Drosophila melanogaster: one gene and its partners. Changing the gene in region 4 together with the main gene of any one other region gives a genetic interaction. Each region holds a gene or a part of one and is shown on either strand. Other genes may lie near its edges.

What was found.
Region 1: of fy (region 4) and in, changing one enhances a phenotype caused by changing the other (phenotypic enhancement), as found in Drosophila melanogaster (2 studies listed by BioGRID).
Region 2: of fy (region 4) and Rab23, changing one enhances a phenotype caused by changing the other (phenotypic enhancement), as found in Drosophila melanogaster (one study listed by BioGRID).
Region 3: of fy (region 4) and mwh, changing one enhances a phenotype caused by changing the other (phenotypic enhancement), as found in Drosophila melanogaster (one study listed by BioGRID).

The regions. Positions count from the first base shown.
Region 1 is NT_037436.4:20,365,580-20,370,765, forward strand, and holds in (inturned), read left to right. Parts: upstream 1-1,618; 5' UTR 1,619-1,736; coding exon 1,737-4,346; 3' UTR 4,347-4,680; downstream 4,681-5,186. Other genes in the region: Toll-9, read right to left, coding at 45-339; CG13247 (uncharacterized protein), read left to right, coding at 4,933-5,170. UniProt on the Drosophila melanogaster protein: Plays a role in the definition of cell polarity via the planar cell polarity (PCP) cascade. Acts downstream of fuz and accumulates asymmetrically in wing cells to regulate planar polarity in the wing. Probably acts by regulating ciliogenesis.
Region 2 is NT_033777.3:5,679,454-5,687,186, reverse strand, and holds Rab23 (Rab23), read left to right. Parts: upstream 1-1,752; 5' UTR 1,753-1,789; intron 1,790-4,199; 5' UTR 4,200-4,445; coding exon 4,446-4,565; intron 4,566-5,269; coding exon 5,270-5,956; 3' UTR 5,957-7,133; downstream 7,134-7,733.
Region 3 is NT_037436.4:1,198,997-1,203,855, reverse strand, and holds the start of mwh (multiple wing hairs), read right to left. Parts: upstream 3,071-4,859; 5' UTR 2,541-3,070; intron 1,986-2,540; exon of another isoform or gene 1,943-1,985; coding exon of another isoform or gene 1,059-1,942; intron 975-1,058; coding exon of another isoform or gene 890-974; exon of another isoform or gene 820-889; intron 541-819; exon of another isoform or gene 454-540; coding exon of another isoform or gene 1-453. Other genes in the region: CG9119 (uncharacterized protein), read left to right, coding at 1-453; meep, read left to right, coding at 890-974, 1,059-1,942.
Region 4 is NT_033779.5:8,400,918-8,404,917, forward strand, and holds fy (fuzzy), read right to left. Parts: upstream 2,364-4,000; 5' UTR 2,165-2,363; coding exon 2,087-2,164; intron 2,029-2,086; coding exon 914-2,028; intron 855-913; coding exon 797-854; 3' UTR 561-796; downstream 1-560. Other genes in the region: CG31898 (uncharacterized protein), read left to right, coding at 1-560; emb (embargoed), read left to right, coding at 3,371-4,000. UniProt on the Drosophila melanogaster protein: Plays a role in the organization of cell polarity via a planar cell polarity (PCP) cascade. Involved in the development of the hairs on the wings.

The DNA of each region.
Region 1 (5,186 bases), on a different chromosome or scaffold from region 4:
GACTTGGGCAGGGATTTTTATTGGACTTTATTGGATAGGTTTACCGTATTTCTTTGTGCTGTCCCTGAGGGTTCCGTTGGGAAACTGCCACCATATCACCTCGTCCTTGATCAGATCCAGCAGACAACTGTTCCCATCATCCGATTCGTACTTCAACATGAGGGATTTGAGGTCCGTTCTCTCCTTGCTGACCTCTTCGGCCTCTTCGCTGGATGTTGTGGCTGAATCTGGTTCTATTATCAAGCCATCCTGGATCGAAAACTCGGTGTATGCTTCCCTTACGTTTCCAAGGAACAGGCATACTAATACGATCACATCCCATATATATTTTGGACACATATTCACTGAATTGCGCACCTATAGTGCTTGTAATGGGGGATTATAAATAAGATTTGACAGCTGTTTGATTTCACAATCACACAGATAATCGCGTTCTATACAATTTTTAGCCACTCATTCAGTTTCACTGGGTATTCCGAAATCTAAGCCACATTTTGTGATAGTTAACCGCGGCCGACATTTCCCGCAAATCACTTTATTTGCGGCTGGGCGAAGCACACGCCTTGGATTCGCGCAATGGACTGGCTGGAGGACTCAGCTTGCTCCGATGGTCAGCAGAAATAATAGGTAGCTGCGGTACACATGTGCGGCTAATTCTGCCATGATACGGCTTATCAATTTTGGCAATATCTTCCCTTGAATGGCCCGGGACTATCAGCGTATCGCTTTTTCGGTGGCACTGGGCGTCCCGCTTCACGCCCACGCCATGTTCCTTATCGGATAATTATCTGGACGTCGGAGTACGGCTATTAGGCCCGTACTTCAATGGGATCGGTGCTCCGGATCAACCGATATAGCCACGGCTCGCTTTTGGCCAGCACATAGTGAGTTCAGTGAGACACAATTTTCTATACTACTCGATTGTTTGCAGATAGAAAAGTTTTGATTTACGGCGTCCAGTCCGGAGACCGATATGAAAAAAATCACTTGGAAAATCTTAGATTATCAGACCATCGGCGATACGAAAAGGTGGCCACTAAAACACCCGGGTCCACAAATGCCCAATTAATTATATCAATTCCCTTCATATCATGCATACACAGTTTATTGGCCGTAAAATAATTTATTGGGAGATAGGACTTCAGCGGTAGTCTCCTATGACAAATGATCATCGGATACCCATTGAGGAAGCAACATTTTACTAATCTTCCGCTGATTAACACAATCCTTATGATAGCACACCAATTTTGCTTTAAGTTCCACCAAATCTTCAATGCGACTTTGTGCAGAGTCAGCATATCGCAGACGGAGCTCTATTTTTATAAGGATTTTCCATGATTATTATTTATAACTTAATATCACGCTGAAATCAACTGGTTAGCAGTCCAATCGTTAAATGCGAACACTTATAAAAAGAAAAGAAATTGGTTATTGTATTATGGTAACTATACTTGTCTTAACCCACGGTGGGTTTTGAGTTTCCCCAGCTTGAAAGAGAACCAGATCACAAAGGGAGTGGATCGTTTCCCGCTGGAATTTGAGTGGAGTGGTATTGAGCTGGTCGGAGCCAGAGCTCAATTAGAAACTGGTTTTGAGTGCTGAGATCGGATCTCGGCTTTCAGTCGACATTCAGAGCTGAGCTGAGGCGGTATCAACCGGCGGCAGATAGTTGAGTGTGTACCTGGAATAGTAGGCCACTAATAACTATCCGCCCAGTTAACTATCCCCGGTAAACTATGCGCAAATCGCCGGCCAGCCTGCCGTCGGAGGCCTTCTCCAGTTCGAACTCCTCGCTGAGCAACTCGTACAGCGATGGCAGCGACCTGGCCAACTGGGAGGAGTACGTGTCCACAGACGGCAGTCTCTTCTACATGGAGTATGTGCGATGTGAGAAGACTGGCGTCTCGGCAGAGCGGCGGGTGGAGTTCATGCGTCGATCGCTGCGCCTGGGAAAGAAGTCGTCGCGTCGCCAGCCGCACAGCAATAATCAGAATCAGAGTCAGAACCAAAACCAGTCCCACGGCCCGAGCAGGTTGGATAGCCAGACGGAGCCGCAAGAGTTCCGCTTCTCACAGTTCAAGACGGCTGCCCCCGATCCCAAGAAACTGGATCTGGTGATCACAGCCGCTGATCGCTTCCGTTTCGGACGACGATCCACGGCGGTGGAGTCCATACTGGGCTTCCGGGTCCTGCCCTTTCCGGACCAACCAGAATGCCTGATGGTCGATGGGTTCGTTCACGATGTGAGTGCGCTGCAGCACGGCATCAAGCGGGGAGATTGGTTTAGATCCCTGAATGGCATAGAGGTGTACGCCAGCAATGTGGATGAGTTGCTCAAGCAGTTCGTGGAGCCCACTCAGGTGTGCCTAGGCTTCCAGTCGTGCGGTGCGGCCAGTGCAGTTTCGCCCACCGATCCGGGGTATAATCGAAATGTCCGCGAGGAGCAGGTGTGCAAGGTGGAGAACTTTCCCATGTTCACGGAGAAGTTTGAGCAGATGTTGATAACGGAGGGGAACTTCGGTATTCCCGGTAGTTCCGTGGACATAAGAATGCCCTTTGCTATGCTGCTACTCCCACCGGAGTGCTATCAGCATGAACAGCAACAGGATTCCCTCTACTACTTTCCGGAAATCCCCGACAACTTCCTATTCAAGGCCCGTGGGAGTTTCCTCACCCTGCACGCCGTACTCAGTGAACTGCACACCCAGCCGCTGAGTTCAAGGCTGCTGGTGGATCAGGTGCAATACCACGTCAACTACCGCCAACTGAATGGGTTCCTAGTCCTCTTCGCCTACGCCGGAGGACTCTGCTGTGCGGCGGAGTGCAGCCTGCGATCGGATGAGCTAATCGGATACATACGCTTCTCTCTGCCGGGCTTGGTCCTGGAGAGCTTTAATCAGGAGAGAGAGCCGGGGAATAGTTCGAGACTGAAGCTGTTCCTTCGACACTTTTGCGAAATCCAGAGAACCCGGCTCGTAGCCAGATGCCATGGTCATATTCGTTTCGAGGAGCTCCTGGGCCAATCCCGCAGCCTGCCACTGCCAAAGGAAGCGCAGCTGCGCATCTTTGATGCTCTGAGTGAAATGGAGGCCATGGACTATCGCAACTGGAACGACGAGCCACTCACCACCCATCGCGAGTTCTTCATCTACGGCAGTGCGCTGTACTACGATGGCTTCCTGGTGGCCAGCCTGCTGCCACCGGAAGTGAGGGTGAGTGTAGAAGGATTCCTGCGCTGCCGCGGAATCTTCGAGTTGCTCGGAGCTGCTCCGGGAATCAAAGTTCGCGAGATGTACGTGTGGGAGGAGATAGTGTTGCCCAGTGCCACAGGGCGATATTTCCTTACCATCTGCACCAAGAACCACTTGAGTCTGGCCGTGATCTTGAAGATCTTCGATGCTCCAGACATGGCGCCGGATGCGGTGGTGGGTCCATCGCTCTTTTACATCGAGGAGATTCAAGAGACGCTGGACCACCTAGTACAGTGCGGCATTGAATCCCTGGCCATGTTCTGGTCCGTTTCCAATAAGAGACCCGAGGTGCTGGACGCCACTGCCAGCGAGAGTAGAGATCAGGAGAAGGAGCCGAACAACCGACTGGAGTCCTTCCTCAAGCAGAAGCTAACCGTGCTGAGTCCTTCGGTGGAGGAGGAAGCCCAACTGTGCTCGTCCCTGGGTGGGTCTTCCATACATAGTCTGACTCCCAGTGAGGACGAGTCCTGTCGCAGGCGATTGACCCCCATCCATGGTACTGCCGAGGACTCAGACAGCGGTTCCGACTGGGAGAACTTCGCCGTACAGCATCCACTTCACTATGGACTGAATCTCGGGGCCGAGAGCCACAGTCAGAGCCAAATGACAGAGTCCATGTGGAAGGAGATCAACAACGTGGTGCCGGTCAAGATATCCGCTGGCTGGAAGAATTCCGTTCTGCACTACGTCTACATTGACATAGCCAATGGGTCCTTGTTTGCGCCATTTACCGACAGCTCCGAGAACTCCAACTACCTCTCCGAGATTCGTCAGGCGTGTCACATAATCCACGCCGTGCTGCAGAAATCCAAGCACTATCGCAGGCATCTATCGGAATCCTCGAGAGCACAGACGAACTCGAACGGGCACAGTAGCCACACAGTGTCGCTGGTCAAGGAGCACGGCATGATCCTGGAGGTCAGCACGCAACCCAAGTCGGACGGGCAATCCCAATCCTCGACGAGCAGTCGCTTCGTGGTGGTTGGTCGTCTCTTTCAGTCGCCAGCCAAGGAAGTGTACGTGTGTCACCGGTCCGATGTTCCCCAGAACATAGTCGAAATGGCCTTCCGGTTGTCCTTCTTCTCAATGGGATGACATCTTGGAAGGATACTACCAACTTAGATACTGGCTATGCGTAGAATTCTTGCTATAATATAAACACAAATATTTAAAATGTGGTTTTAACTAAACAAATTACTTTTATATAGGCATTCAAACAATTTTTTAAAATTATATTTAAGAATGCATAATTAATCATTTTCAGCAATTCTATTACGAAAGCATTTGATTTAGGGGAAGTGCAATTTTGTATTTTCAAAATTCGAAAAGCGCAAGCTTGCCAAAACTCTAAGAAATTGAAAAATATGTACATTTCCTCTGAAACGCAGCGAATAAATATGTATGTATGAAGGTATTTCAAGAGGAACACAAACATCGTGCGAATGTGTTTCATTCATTCATAGTTCGTACTAGAGAAGCCATCAAAAGTGTACACTATTTTTAGAGTTTGGTGGGAGGGTCCCATTCTAAAAGTAGTTCCACGCACCAGAAGTCAAAAGACACGCCGACCAATAAATCCACGTGAACGAGTGGCTCAAGGTGGTGCTCCCCAAATTGCCAATTTCCCAAGATTCGTCGACAGTTGTGTTTGGGTGTTTCAACAGAAGAGGATTCTTGGTGGATGGATATGATGACAGCTACGTGGATGCTGTGTCTTGTTCTCTGCTCCACGGCGATGGCGACGGAGGAGGAATCGGGCAGTGGACTGTTCAACGTCACCGGGAATCCCTTGGATACAGAAGCTGCTCCAAAACTGCCCAGCGAAGTGCAGAAAGCTGTTTGCACTGTGACTGCGGGGGAGGTGAAGGCATCTGCCGAGGCTGTCACCACAAAAACCCTTAAGGGAGTGTGTGGATCAGGTGGGTGGTCAGTGGT
Region 2 (7,733 bases), on a different chromosome or scaffold from region 4:
TATGCGTGTGTACTTTCGCCGAACGATAAACTGTTAAAATTGCTGGTCAAATTGAGTTGCGGCCCATTTATTTACTTTGCATTTTATTGGCCGCTTTGCAAATTGCTCTTTAATCGTTTTTGTATATGTTTTCCTGACGTAGCGTGCTGCAGTCCAGGATCGAATCAATATTTAATGGCGACCGCGTTTCCACATTCCCAGGCGGAAGGGAGTCGTCGCTGATGGAATTCTGACTTCGTGCGCCCAATGAATCACCCCCAAAAAGGGGGGCGGCAAAGCAGCCGGATAGTGCGGAAAATGGGCAAGTGGGAACATGGGAAAGATGGGAAATGGGAGCATGGGCAGCCGGGGCGCTGGAGCGGACAATGACCACCTGACTGCGCTTCCTGTGGGAAGGTCTCGAGGAGCGGAGGAGCAGAGAGCATCCGAGAAATTACTATCAATATTGATTTTTATTCGCAGCCAGTGCCGTCTTTGTTTTTCACATATTCATGGCTCACACATTCACAAAAATGCACAGTGCGCGCTCGCTACAGTTAACTGGCAAGCAAAAGTAGTTATTTAGATTCTCAAAGGAAAGATAGTTTCAATACTGTAGTAATATTAGTAAGAACTTTAAATTCACAGTACCATTAAGGCAGCAATGTAAGGATTCTCAAAACACGTACTTTCCTGTTGGCATGTTCCCTTTATCGAGCGTGCACTGTGATTTTTCTTTGCCTTAGAAAGAATGGGAAGATGGGGGCACGGAGGATGGGCTTGAGAGGCAGGAGGAGGAGCAGGAGGCGGAGAAAGAGGACGAGCCACCACCAGCAGACAGACTGCGAAAAAAGAGACGGCAGTCACCCCAATGTCGGAATTTACTTTTGCACTAACTTGGCACTTTTAACTTTCTACTTTCTAAGGTTTCCAATACCTTTTCGCCGCCCCTCGCCACACACACTCACACACCCGCCGTTACGCGACACACACACACACACGGATGGTGGCGTGCAACAATAAATACTGATTTTGGCGATTGGTGCGCCCGAAAACACGTTGAAATGCCACCAAATTCCGCTGAGCACTGAGCACTGAAAGTCGAGTTCCTGCCGCTTCTCCAATTCGCGATGCCTAGCATTTCTCTACGTCTCGTCCTTCGTCCTGTCGGCCGATAAATCGCGATTGCCGAGCATGCGCGTGCTGCCAGCCAAGTGGGTTGTCAGCAAAGGCGATGAAATTATAGCCGCAATTGGCCCTTACAAGACTGGTGCGCAAATCTTGCGGCAACACATTTCAATTTGCGCTTTTTCGAGTCCGCCGTTGAAAGTCAAACAAATGCGCGTCTTGTCGTTTGGAACAGCTGATTGCCAGGTGCTTCTTCTTCTGCGAGTGCCAGCCACTGGGAAGCAGTGTTGCAAAGGGACGGTAGAGGTAAATAACAGGCGCTACAAATTTAAAATTTAAATGCAAAGTGTTCTCACGTACATGTTTATTCAAAGCACTCAATAATAGTATGTACTTACTTTAATAACTAAATATTATATGCACATTGGACAATGAATTATTACTTATTTATTTATTTTGTAACCAATCTTTAAGTCAAATGGGAGGATGTATATATATGTTTCATTCTCCGCTCGTAAATTATTATTGGAGACGTGCAGATAAAATAAAAGCAAACCCGTTCACATCGAAGCTCGCCTGGTGTGACCATCCACGCTGGTCAAACTACTTTGCGCACGCCATGGTCGCACTGCTCGCAGCAAGCCAGGCTTGGCATTCAAATTTCGATCGCGACGAGCAACAGGTGCGATTTTTGGCATTCCGGTTCGCAGTGCAGCGCATTTCTCCCACTTGGCGCCCTAAAAAATCGGCCGGGGGCAAAAACCATAAACCATGGTGTATATCGTGTGTGCAAGTTGACTTTCACTGCGGGTCAATTCAGAGATCGGGATCCCAGGCGACGTTCGTCTTTAATTAAGGCGCTTCGCACGCGTTGTCGTCGTTGTTTTAGCTCCAATTTAGCTGCTTTAGCCGTTTTATCTGCTTGGTAGTTTTGGCCAAGTAGAAGAGGGGCTCCGCTGCGAACGTGTTTACGATTTTCTGTGCGATCCCAAGCTGCGATTCGAATGCGAGCTTCGCGTTTTCGCACTCGAAACTTCTTTTCGTCTATTTCTCACCCAGAAAACACAATCGCAGTAGACTTTTGAGTTGATTTTAGTGAGAAGAGGCAGTAAAAGAGCCATGAAAAATATGGCAAGAGATAAAAAAACAGACAAAAACAGAAGAAGCAGAGGGCGACACTGTGCGGAGTACCGTTAATGCGCGAGTAACTATTTAATCATGATTTAAATAATGAGGAATTCGCGCTCGTAATTGATTTAAGTAGCGCTCGGCATTTGCATAATTTTCCCCATACGAACACACACACTTGCAAGCCTGGAAAATCCGTTTTTCCTCTGCAGCAGCAGCGGCAGCACAACAAGTGCACATGTGTAGGGGTGTGCAGCCGTGCACGGCATGCATGCATGTGGCCGAGTGCAGGTGTATTGGTGCTGTTGTGAACCTAAATGGACAAGTTAGAATCCACATTCCACAACAATGGCCAAGAAAACGGCCGCCGATCTATCAGTTCCTTGGGCAAATCCAAAGATAATTGCAGCGCGGCGCTCCATTCGCAATTTACTCCACAGCCTGTGCAGAAAACAAATGGTTGCTCACAGGCTCAAGATTAGAACAATCTGAGGATCGGTGCTCTCTTTTGTGGAACAAATCTTTAAGTGTACACATGGCTATTGAACTAAATCTATAACCGGTGGCCTTAATTATCATGACAATGAACTACAAAAAAGTCAACGAAAATAGCATGAACCTTTTAGAAGAAGCTGTAGGAAAAAAGTCGCGGCATAATTAGAACGAGCGAAAGGTTGCACAGTGGGTTAAAGGTGGTGGTTTGGGTTAAGAAAGAATCGGTGGAGAAAATGGAAAACACAAATCCTGTGTTACCTGTCCGTCTAGTGCGGAATGCCGACTGTGTGGAAAGAGCTCAGAAAAGACTGCTGGGAATTAATTAATTGTTGTATTTGTAACCTTCGAAGGCAGATCACTATATTTAGGCCAATAAAATCTTGAGAATTTCACGCAAATTCATTCATATCAGCCACATTTTACACAAAAAAGGTTCGTTTATTATTGAAAAACTGAGAGAAAATTGGGAAACGCTGTAGGCTATACATATATCTAATGCTTCTTTCGAAGCTTAGATGAATCCAACCCGAATTGATGATTGGTTTGTTATTGTTTTTTCGAGCACCAAGCTTCCGATCTATTTTGAGAACCTTGAAACCAAGCTAATTTGCTTACGAAACGAATATATCTCCTTTAGAACACAATGTAACCAAGTGGGCCCCATCCGTTTGGTCAGATATTGTATCTACCCTCCATATATATTCCGAACCCACTTAGCCGCACAGCCGTCCGCCCACGAAGCCGCAGTAAGCAACTGTAAACGGGGGAAAGGCCAGAAGAAAGAGCACAATTTTCAAAGAATTCATAAGCACGCGCTAATGCGAATACTAATGTCATGCGGGCTCCATCTCCATCTCTCTGCTGACCAGTATCCACTGGCCCCTGTCGTCCCACCTAACCACCAGACCACCGCCCAACTCCAAAATCCCACCCCCCCCCCGCCCGACCACCGCCTGTTACCTGTGCGTAAGGTGTGTGGAAGCACCTGTTGTTGAACAACATAACCGTGCGTGCCCGGCCGTTCGTGTTGCGTCTTATTAGAAGCCGCATTCGGTGGCCCCTGGGCCAGTCGGTAGAAACAGAGAAAAACAAGAAAGAAAAACAGGGGAAACGAAAAACAGACTTGGCCAAAAGAAGCGAGAAACACAGCGCTGAAAACCGGTTGACGTGGAAATGAAAGAAAACCTTTTGCATTTACAGTCAAGCTTCGGGAAGGGAAATTAATTTGAGTCGAAATATTGGTACAACTTCTCGCGCCTTTTCAATTTAAAGCAAAGATATCTCCAGAAAACAAAGGTTTATAAAAATAGATGGATAGTTGTTCCAATATATAATCAAATAATAAAACCCCCAAATTTGCTTTTTCACTTCATATTTCTTTAGTTCAAGCTAACGAAGTTTGACTGTAGCACTTGCCGTATGTTAAAACTGATGTCGCTGAATAGTTGGATTTTTCTCTTTTTCCACAGATCGAATTTGGTGAAATCAATGCGTAGAAAGTGAAACGAGATTCAGACAAAGTTGGGGGAAAAGTGAAAAGCTGCGGAAAACTTGGCTAACCAAACAAACACATTTGAACACACTTGCGTTGGGCGGATTGAGATTTCGTGCTCCTCCAACCGATTTGCCTGGCCAGGAGCTGCAGTTGGAGCTGGAGCTGGAGCCAGAGCCACAATCAAACACCTGGGCGAGCGGCGGCCCACCTGCCGGCTTAGATGCGTCTAATCCAAACGGCAACCGGCGGTGCTGCTGCGTCCGTTCTGCAGACCCACTCCCAGGCGCAGTACAACTACACCAGCATGCGTGAAGATGATATCGAGCTGGCCATTAAAGTGGTAAGTTGCCCAGCCGGCTGCGTGAATCTCTGTCATTCGGATGATGAATGGTTGAAATGAGTGCACTGCAAGAAAAAAAGATGGCTACTATTAAACCAAACCCACATATACAATTGATTATATATCGTATCAAGAAGAGTTCTGCATATCCCAAAATGGAATGACTTCTTTCCAATATTAGTATATTAATCAACTTCCATATGTTAAAGCATCAGATCATCTAATAGTTTTTCTATATATTTTTATAAACTTCTAACTAGTTCTAAATAATAACTTTCTGTGTAATTTTCCCTCGCCAAGTGTTGTGAATGGCACCTGTAAGATAAAATCCGATGGAAATGTCTGTTGCTAATGGCGAAACTGCACGAATTAAGATTCTAGTTCAATTAGGGTTCTCCTCTCCCTAAATAAAGTTGTTTCTAATGGTTTTTCTGGAATTGTTTCAAATTGATTTATATGATTATTTCCGAATGTGTCTTTCTGCAGACAAGCCAAATTTGATTGACATTTACGCGCTTAATTAACTTAAATGGCTAACCGTTTTAAATGTCCAGTAGAAAGCACATAAATATTGTGAACAGTTAATTTTCTCTCCTTCTGGTGAATAACAAAACGCTTTTTTGCTTATGATTGAAATAGCAAAACATAACGTAAGACTTTTGTTTTGAAATATGAACTAATAACAACTCTGGTATTTTCCATAGGTCATTGTTGGAAATGGCGGCGTTGGCAAGTCATCAATGATCCAGCGCTATTGCAAAGGCATTTTCACGAAGGACTACAAGAAAACGATTGGAGTGGACTTCCTAGAGCGACAGATCGAGATCGACGGCGAGGATGTGCGCATCATGCTGTGGGACACCGCCGGCCAGGAGGAGTTCGACTGCATCACAAAGGCGTACTACCGCGGCGCCCAGGCTTCCGTCCTGGTCTTTTCGACGACGGATCGAGCATCCTTCGACGCGATCAAGGATTGGAAGCGCAAGGTGGAGAACGAGTGCAACGAGATACCCACAGTGATTGTGCAGAACAAGATCGATCTTATCGAACAGGCGGTGGTTACGGCCGACGAGGTGGAGACGCTGGCCAAGCTCCTCAACTGCCGGCTCATCCGCACCTCCGTCAAGGAGGACATTAACGTGGCGTCCGTGTTTCGCTACCTGGCCACCAAGTGCCATCAGCTAATGACCCAGAGCTACGACCAGGTGGCCGGAAACCAGCAAAACTCCAGCCATCCGCCTTACAGCAGCACGCCCACGATCAGCGCCTTCAGCCCGACCTTCACAAAGTCCAGCAGCGGCACCATCGTCCTCCGTCCGGCGAAGAAGGGCCATGGCTCCAGCGTGGCCCGAAAGCGAAAGATAGTGCTCAAGAAATGCGGAATATTGTGAGGAGTTGTCGGATTAGCTGGTTAGATGGCGGCAGGGGCGACTCGGCTGGCAATTAATATCTGGAGCATATTTAACGCCTAATTATTTTGGAGCCTAATGATGTTGTGGCCGGGTGGCCAGCCAACCGTTGGATGCAACCACAGCCATTCACTAGTCGTGCACAGACTCCGCGTGATGTGGTTCAGACATGCTTACGGAACAGAAAAAATAATCGGAGGCAGCAAATTGGATCTTCTGGATCCCCACGAAGATGAGATACCCTTGCGGTCGAACTGAGGAACTAAATATTTGATTTACACTGCACAACGGAAAGTTTTCACCATCTTTCGGGCCGGTTCCGATATCTCACAAAAATGTATTCATCTTTGGTTTTTAAAACTACGATTTTTAATATACAGATTTAAATTCTATGCCGGATATTGTTCTTGAACACGAAAATTATAAGAAACACCCAAATCATTTAAGACACCATAGAATAAGCTAACTTTTCGGTGTATTATTTTAACTGCAACTATTTAATACTCCTGTTTATATTTACCATATATAGAACGTATATACAGACCCAATACTCACTTGGCCACACGAGCCATTAGACCAAAACCATAGCACCCGATCTGCACGGGTAGATGATGAGTTCTCGAAACCATAGACAATATGCACGAGCACTGGCAGTTTCTCAAAAATTTCCACAATTAGTTATAGATACGAAATCAAATTTGTATGTATGTATTATGCCCGCTTTTCTATAACGGAGACTGAAGCAACTTTGCTTTCATATCGAATATGTTTGTATATAGGGGTTAGCTCCCTAACCAAGCAGAATTAAAAGGCTATTTATCACGCTACCAAGCCCAGATCACAGGTCCATGTGAAATCCCTTTGCCAATTCGCGTTGGCCAAATGTGCAATTAAACATTCAGCTTTTATAATTATTAACTAATTGCAAGTCATGCCAGAGCGCAATTTGACGCGATTCATGTAGACCAGTGCTGCTCGCATTCTATGCAAAAAACTGCAGATAGAGCACAGTGAAACTCGTGAAGCATGTAACATGTAAGCCGAATAGGAGTTTAGAAATAACTAATAAATAATAAATAACCCTAAGCCCATTAATATTCTATTTATGCATGTAATGATCCATTAATATGTTTACTTAATAAATTATTTTATGTAAATTAAGTCGATTGTTGTGCAATTGGGATTCACTTTTGGAAAGTCAGCGGGCAGGAATTTGATGAAGTGGGTTCGAAATTAAAGTAGCATAATGGGTTAAGATGTCATGGGTTAAAACAGCAGTCGTAGTTTTGAAATGTTTACCATTTTTTATTTGATTTTTGATTTTACACTTTTTTTGTAAGCTTGACAATTTTGCGATCCGCTTCTGTTACACCATCGTTTAAACGTTTCCACATTTAAATCGTTTAAACTATTTTAAATATATAATATTTCTTTCTTTATATTTACAATGCGCGTTGAAAAACTATCGCTTCGCAACGCATAAATCATTAAATGTGTATATATCTATTTTGTTGTAATTTTCAAGTGTTTCCTTGTATTAATAAAGGCATAAATAACTATTCGTCAATTTCCATTCTTATTTATTTACACAAAGTCGAAAAATCAAAATATCTTAGATATAGGCAAGGAGAGAGAGTAGAAAGTTCGATTTCTGGAGGGTCAGGGGAAGAGAGTGGTAAAAGCTGAGCATAAAACTGTGTTTTTCGCAGGCTGAGCCCAAAAGATTGTGTTTCTTGTTTCTTTGTGTGTTTGGGTTGTG
Region 3 (4,859 bases), on a different chromosome or scaffold from region 4:
GGCAAGCCTGGTCAGGTGTTGAAAATCACCGCCAAGCAGCGCACTGGCGAACAGAACTTCATCGAGTGCATCCGCAAGGGCCTGGAGAACCACTACGGGGACAAGGTGGTGGGTCTGGGTGGCATTTTTCTGATCAAGAAGGGCGCTGCCCACCAGCACGTGATGCGGGACTTCAGCAAGACGCCCATCAACAGCGACGAGGAGGTGAACGAGTGGCTCAAGTTCTACGAGATGCCCGCCCAGCTGAACGCCGTGGGCACGCTGGTGACCAAGGAGCACGACCTGGACCTTCGCCTGCAGCACTTCCACTCCTTCTCCTTCAGCAACTGGGGCGGTCACTACCATTACGACACCACGCCGGATATCGTTGAGTACGAGGCCTACCTGAACGTAGCCGAACGGGTGGTGCGGGTGGATAAGCCCGTGGCCACTCACAAAGTGGGACGCGACTAGATCTTATCTGCCGTATCTAGTTGTAGCCGACTTTTCCATTGCCCCAACCCCCAATAAATAATAGTAAATAAACAAAACATAAGCTCGAAAACAGAAACAGTCTTTTTATCTGCTCAAATCCCTGTCAGGCTTAACAAATACTAAAATAGCTTATCAGCTAGCTGGCCAACCAAATTTACAAAATCTAAAATTACTTCTCTAGGTTAGTACTTTGTTATTTTGAAAACAGGTCATTATAAATAGTATATTTAATAGAAACTCAAACCAGAAAACCACATACTTTTATAAATTGGAAGCCCTGTATCAGTAGAACATTATCATGACAGGCGTTCGAATGACAGACATTTTTACCAAACGATGGTGCTTCGGTCAGTCGCTAGTTTACCTCCAGCAAGGAAAGGCCCTGAACCCGTACCGAAATATTTGCAGAGATACCATGAACGGGAGTCACCTTCAAACGGAGCAGTTGCTCTTTGAGGAGAGGCCACTCCATGTGCCGCCCCTCTCGGAACTGAAAAGAGGTGAGCACTCCCGCGTGGAATAGCTGATAAAAATAGTTCTCATCTAGCGGATACGTCAAATAAAGCTTTCCACCTGCTCTCCAGTCATACAGGGTGCTCTGGATGAGAACTTTCGGACCGTAGATGTCAGTGTGGAAGCTTGCCCGGATTTAAGGGACTCCCAGTTTGGCCTTGTGGAGCGTGGACTGGGCGGAAAGGCCACTCTCCTAGAAGCAGGAGGGCCACCCTATTTGCGGCCCTTGGTGCAGCGAGATAAGCTCTACAATCTGAAGGAGATCACTCGGCGGACCCAAGGAGCAGGAAAGATCTTTGCAGTTGGACCGGGAGCAGGTCCGTGGCCCATTCGTCACTCCAATTGCGAGGGGATCTTTAATTTCTCGCTAAACGAAGAGGATGAACTCACTCAAGGAAGCTACACGGCCACTGTGAGGGGAGCGAATGAGGATTGTGTTCTCGAAAGGATTCCCGAAACCGAATCTCGTGCTGCTCTGATCCTGAACCTCTTCCTCAGCGAGGGAAAACCAGGTCAAGTGCTCCGAATTTCCGCAAAACAGCGCACTGGAGGGGAAAACTTTGTAGAATGCATTCGCAAGGGTCTGGAACGGCACTACGGAGACCAGGTGGTGGGCTTGGGAGGAATGTTCGTGGTCAGGAGGGGATGTGTCCACCAGCACGTAATGCGAGATTTTAGCAAGACGCCCATCCACACACAGGAACAGATCCAAAACTGGTTGAAGTTCTACGAAATGCCCGCCCAGCTAAACGCAGTGGGCACCTTGGTGACCAAGGACATGGGACTGGACCTCCGCCTGCAGCACTTCCACTCGTTTTCCTTTGCAAACTGGGGAGGCCACTATCACTACGACACCACGCCGGACATTGTGGAGTACGAGGCCTATCTGAACGTGGCCGAAAGAGTGATCCGTGTGGACAGACCCGTGGCGACCGATCAGTTGGGCAGAGATTGATCTTCATCTGCTCATTTGTTCCTGCCAAAAATAAACGTCTTCGAGAAAATGGTTTCGGTTTCTGTCTGGTTTTCTCAGATTACCAAAGTGTGGCTCATGGCTCGTTGGAGCCGCATCATTTGTGGAACAGGCCCTCGAGGGCATGGGGTTTATGTAATTGCCAAAAATTAGAGCCACCGAGCCGCTTTCTTCGAGATGCAAATCGATGGCTAAATGATCTGTATAGCCAGCTGGCCGGATAGCACCTGCGATGGGAGGCTGGGATGGGTGTTCTGGAGCTTCATGCTTGGCCTAATGAGAGCTGCGATACGGACGTCTAGCTAAGCAGGCCGTAAATAATGCCCCAAACATGCAGCAATCTGTGTTTTTCTTTTTGCACCGCTGGTCATTAATTATTTAATAACTTTGATCCATGCAGAGCACACAGCGAATGCATTGGTGAATTCAGCCAGTAAAACGATCCTATGGATTTCCCCAACTGGCCGGGCGGGAGTGCTGAACCAAAACAACCCGTTTGTTGTGACAGTTACAAATCGTAGTGAAGGCATGATAGATGGACGCACAGAACTTGGACAGACAGACAGACTGACTGACTTACCCACTCACGCCGGGTGACTCTCCCTCAAAATCCTATTGTTCGTTCTTCCGCGGCTCTGCTTAACGGGTCTCCAATATTTGCATTTATTTATTCACTATTCCAGATTCTTATAACCTTTTTATGAAAGTAGCAACACTTTTGGCCGCGACGAGCACACAAACAAACACCGAACTTCCATCGATTCGATTTGATCCAATTTAATCTACCAAACAGCGCGGTGAAATGCAAATGCGATTTCTTCGTCCCACGAAAAAGAAAATCTCTTTTTGTTATTGTTACCGTTGTGGTTGTGGCATTGGTTGTTGTTGTAACCGTTTTTGTGGCTCAGGCATACTCGGTTTATTCATATTTTAAACACACCATTAGCACTTTTTATTAGCTGCCTCGGTTTGATTTACTCCACTCTACCGATCTTCACTTCGCCAGCTCGTCGACTTTAGCTTCGCGTTTGGCTTTTGGCTATAGTTTCGGTTTTGGCCTGGCTTTAACTGTGCTCTAAGCCGCGTCTGCTTGGCTGAAACGCGAGTTGCAGACTGAATGAAGTCCGCGATCAGATGGCTCGACTGCCGCTGCTGGTCGGAGTGGCTTTCCACATGGAGCTGCTGCTCTTCAGGCGCGTAGATAGCGAACTTGTTTGGGGGATTTCCACGAGCTTCGGTTCTATCCATTCATGCACTTCGAGAATCGGTAGCCCTTGGATAAGATGTCACTATCCGAGAGCTTCGGCTTCAGAAGCTATCTATGCAATGAAGTTCTGTCAGTTTGCACAAGGTAAATTAATAAAGGGAGTGTCCTAATTAAATAAGTATTAAAAAAAATATATATATGAATAATAGCATGCGTATTCGATAGATAGTAGGAACATAGCATAGTACTTTTATAATTTACGATATAGAGAATTTAAAAATGTACTAGAATAATCAGAAGCTCAATTTTTTTTATTACTGACTGATTTAGAGACTGCTAAAACGCATCGGCAATCCCCTCTAGATATCGAATCGGTTTGACAAGTCCATTGCCGCCACTGGCAGCTCAGGAAAATCAGGTTGGCTTTTCGGCTGGTCTGTTTTACAAGCGTTTTTAAATTGAAATTGTCGTTTAATCTCTAATTGGCCACATTTGCGATAGAGTTAAGAGGCCGGGCACGTCGACAAGTGCATCAAGCGAGTGCCGCGCGATTTTCCCAACCCCGAAACCAGTTCCCACACCGAAACCCAGCCAAAGTCGCTGCCAAGGCTACTTCGGGTATCCATTTCCATTAAAAGCGACACGAACTAGTTAGTCTTAGTCGCTGCTCCTGTTAGAGCACTTTGCCCAAAGGCAGATCCGACCAGGCCCACCGCCACAACCCGTTCACTGAACCACCTCCGAAGAAAGTGGCCCAAAGCTGCTGGCCGGCTTCGCGAAAATTGCATAATGATTGATGCCCCCAGGCTAACTGATGTATCGCCATTTTAATGGCTCGGCCATTTATTCTCCACTCCCTGGGCGTTTTCATTAATGTGCGATTGTTTCTTTTTCCGGCGTAGATCCGCATTGGTAAATGTGCGGTGAAATAAAACTAATGTGGAATCCGAATGGGAACTTCTGGGCCATCATTCCATTCCATGGCCCGCTCAAAACAAGTCATCACAAGTTAATCTTAAAACTAAACTGCAATTGGCCATTGCCTTCATATAGCCGATTAGTATTATCTTGTCTTGTCGTGTAATTTTATGCAAATCACCAATTCATTTCCCGCGAGAGATAAACTCACATGTTTTATGTGTAAAATAATTTACTTTACAAATTATAAGTTATCTTTTAGGCTGCTAAATATTATCTACCATCATTTCGGGATTCTATCAACTTGCTATAAATTGAGCTTAAGTGCATACTTTTGGGTAAGTTCTACAATATAAGATGAAAGGGCTTACATTCTCTTACTAATAAAACTCACCTTTCTTCCTTGAGCACCCAATAATCCAATATAGTTTGATTTATAGGTTCTTTATATATTTCTTTTGTATACATATACAGTATATATTCGCCTGCGTGTACACAACTTTAAAGGTTTACACATCTTATACTGGGCTTTAATTGAGAATACTTCAAAACGTAGCAGCTGGTGTTCGATATTGTTGAGTCTCTGGTAACTGAAAGATTGGCATAACTAAACTAAGGTTACACGAAGATCGCTAAATTACTTTGGCCTCACTCTATTTTGTGCATTGCCAGGTTAAGGATGTGGTTACAGGAGGGTCTGGATATCTATAACCAATCCAAATTGCTTATCTCCGATTTACAATAGACCCAACTGACCCAACTGACTCCCGATAC
Region 4 (4,000 bases):
GCAACGGGTCGTCAGAGAACATTGACTCTGATCCACCTACTCCTCAACGATTGCCAACGTCTTCATTCCAAACTTCTTGGAAATCGTTAAGTCAAAGCTCGCTGAATAAATCTAACTGCTCTGGATTGACCGAGGATAGCTATACCGAATCTTCTCCAGCTATTCAACTTGTTCCTAGTGAAAGTCCTAGGCAGTATCTGCCAAGTAGCCAAAATAGAGTCAATTTGAAGGCAAACCCTCGCTGTGTTAAAGGAGGCTATGCTGAGGAGTTCCGTAAAGTCCTCAAAAAAGTAAGAATGGATCAGCGTCAACTTAAAAACCATGCAGCCACTCACACGGCTAAAATTTTGTCTGTTACAAACCAGTATGGTGTTACCATTGCCCTAGTGGCTTCCGATAATGGACGTAGTTTCAATATTCTTCCTCCAAAAGGAGAAACCACACAACTTACAGTTGGATCTATAGTACAATTTTTTCTGGATCCAAGGATAAAGCCCTTAGAGCTAAACAAGAAACAACTGGTCTATTGTCGCCCATACAATGTTGTAATAAAAGGATAAGGACATATTGTATATTTAAAATATATAAATAGTATTTGTAAGGACGGAATTGTAAGTCATTAAAGCCATATTAGTATGTAGCATATACATATAAGATTTGTCAAAAATTACGCTTAACTTTAGAAAAGGAGTTGTACCCTATTGTTCGTTAAATATAATGTCATTTAAAAAAAAACATTATTTCATGGAAAAGTAGTAACAAAAATCAGTCTTTAGGCTTAGAAAGAAATATCGTATCACCAACATACTGACTTCTCCTGGAGTATATTAGCATGGATGCGTTGCGCAAGGAATCTGTAAATACAATACTGATTTTAAAACCTTGTCATCAAAGTAAATAATTATAATCGCACCTCATTGCGTGCGAGGGCACCGCTGCCACAAACAACAAGAATATGACATTGCCCAGCTCATCCATATGGGCATAGCACTTGTGGTAGTCCGAGCAGCTATATTGGTCCACTAACGTAGTTTTATTGCTGGACGACTGGGTTTCAAATTGGTGGACTGCATCCATAGTTTGATCGAAAAACTTCTTTAGAATGTCCAAGCGCTGTAGATCGCCCACAATGATGCGCTTGACACTCGCCGACTGGTTTAGATTTCTGGTAAAGAGACTTTTTCGCGTGTGTCGGTTAATTAGAATGATGGCCAGCACATTTCCATCGATCTCCAGATGCTCGGGCAGACTGCGCGGCACGCATCGCTCGGCGGCTGCCAAAAGGTTGCCTTCATTCCGGTAGGCACTCATGGCATGTGCATGCAACTCTCGGAACGAGGCATTCTCAGCGCCACACAGGACACACAGAGCACTGTTCGACGCCACAGGAATACTGACAAAGCGGTAGGCTATATGGGGACTTTTCACGGGCAAATAGACCGGCACATCGTGTTGCATTGTGCTCGACGAATTCAACAGAAACAGCAGCAGCTCGCGGTCCCGAGTGTCCAGATCCCACCAGCCCTCAGTGGCCACAGCGATACGGTGTCCCACAACCAGGCAGCAAAAGAGCGAGCCACAGTGGCCACTAAATTCATTTAGACACTGCAGCAGCTGGGCGTTTTCCGCCGCCAGCAGACAGTCCGTGTAGCCCAGGAGTTGTGTACCCGCACAGGCGGCTTCCAGAATAGCGTCAACAATCGGGACATACTTCTTGGCGTCCTTCTTCAGTCTATCGAGGAGCGTTGCATGTGCCATTTCTGCGGCCCGGGTAATGAACATGCCTATCGCTCCAAAGACAAGATCAGCCAGCGTCTGAAGCAGTTGCTCCGACCCAACACCGCAGCCGCACACGATCAGGGTGATGGATTCCCGGTCGCGCCATATGTAAGTCCACTCCTCGGCATCCGCGGGAGCCTGATTCTGGATAGGCTGCTGTTTGCTGGTCGTCGTGGCCTCCAGTTGGATTCCCAGCGACTTAAAGAACATGTGAAAGCCGTTTAAGGAGGCCACCGTCGAGAAGGGCAGCTGGATATGGAGAAAGGGTATTAACTAAGTGAATAGGTAGGCAATATGTTACTCTTACATTTTCGCATTCTCCCTTCTTTCGTGTAAACACTGGCAATCCGCCGTTTGTTGTCAAACATAACAAATAGATGGACATCGCAGCTCTTCTTCTTCGCCGAACCTGCTACGTATGATGCTTACATCGATTAAATCGATTCGTTTTGAATTATCGAAAATAAGCGATGCACTAGTAAATTAATATGATTTATTTTAAACTTTTATCTGAATTACTTGCATACTTTTAGTGTTTTAATGTAATAAATCAGTAAGATGCAGTATTTTGTAGCTGATTCAGGAGAACAGATCAAATTCAAATATATTTATGTCAATTTATGCATGCATGCATACTGGTTTGTTTTTCCATTAAATTAAACAGATAATATTTTTTTGTATTTTTTTTTAAAACATCGCTGCTTAAAACATCGATGTTTTTCGATATCAGGGACATCGATGTTTCTGGCAGTAAGTAAGCCAACAAACTAAGCATCTTCATCCATGCCATTTGATTATTTTATTCGATCAACGTTATCGATCACTTTGCGTGCATGCCTGTAGACCAGGGCTGTGGACGTATGTTTGTTCAGCACCATACGGGCACACTGTTCTCACAAATTGCATTTCGCATTGTCCGTCGTCGTCGTTTTCACACGCTGCTCTTTTCTGGAATCGGTAAAAGGTAAGCTTGATATGTGAATTACATGTTCATGATTGTTAATTAATTACACACTGCGTCCTCGCTGGCGCGTTTTGAAAAGCTAAGAAAATTTGGGAAATGCCGCCGCAGTCTTGTCGCATTTGCGGCGGCGATGCGTTCGCCTGTGCCAGTGTGTGCGTATGTGTGGTGTGCCGAGCGCTTGTATGTGTGCGAGTGCGAAAAAGTGTAGCGCGCGCAGGCAACAGCGTGCGCTTGTAGTTGTGTGTTCCAAAAAAATGAAACAAGAAAACAAAAAAGAAATATGGTTGCCTGTCGACAGGCGTAAAAGTACGCAATATGTATAACCAACGGTCTTATTTCCACAGCTTCAGGTCCAGTCCCGGCACCAGATCCAGATCCCGATCCAGATCGAGAGTCGCCGCTCCTCACCGTCATCATAGTGCGAAGAAGAAGAAGCTGAAGCAGAAGCCGCCGCGCACTTTCGATAAATAAAGTGGAAAAAAAAAACAGCAAAAACAAGAAATCCAAAGGGAAAAAACGTGAGATCCGAGCTCATCCGGCGGAGGAGGAAGCCAAGAAGCTATCAAAATTAACGCGGACACAACTGCAGAGCGACGCCGACGCGAACGCCGCTTCTACTACAAAGCGATGGCGACAATGTTGACATCGGACGAGGCGGGCAAGCTGCTCGACTTCTCCCAGAAGCTGGACATTAATCTGCTGGACAAGATCGTCGAGGTTGTGTACACAGCGCAGGGCGAGCAGTTGCGTCTAGCCCAGAGCATACTGACCACGCTGAAGGAGCATCCAGAGGCATGGACGCGGGTGGACAGCATATTGGAGTACTCACAGAACCAGCGGACCAAGTTTTATGCTCTGCAAATCCTCGAGGAGGTCATCAAAACGCGCTGGAAGGTCCTGCCGCGCAACCAGTGCGAGGGAATCAAGAAGTATGTGGTCAGTCTTATCATCAAGACCTCGTCGGATCCCATTGTTATGGAGCAGAACAAAGTGTATCTGAATAAGCTAAACATGATTCTGGTCCACATTCTAAAGCGCGAATGGCCACGCAACTGGGAGACATTCATCAGTGACATTGTCGGTGCGTCGAAAACGAACGAGAGCCTGTGCATGAACAACATGGTAATCCTGAAGAACCTTAGTGAGGAGGTGTTCGACTTTTCGCAGGGTCAGATCACGCAGACTAAGGCCAAGCACCTGAAAGACACCATGTGCTCGGAGTTCTCTCAGATCTTTACACTATGCTCCTTCGTGCTG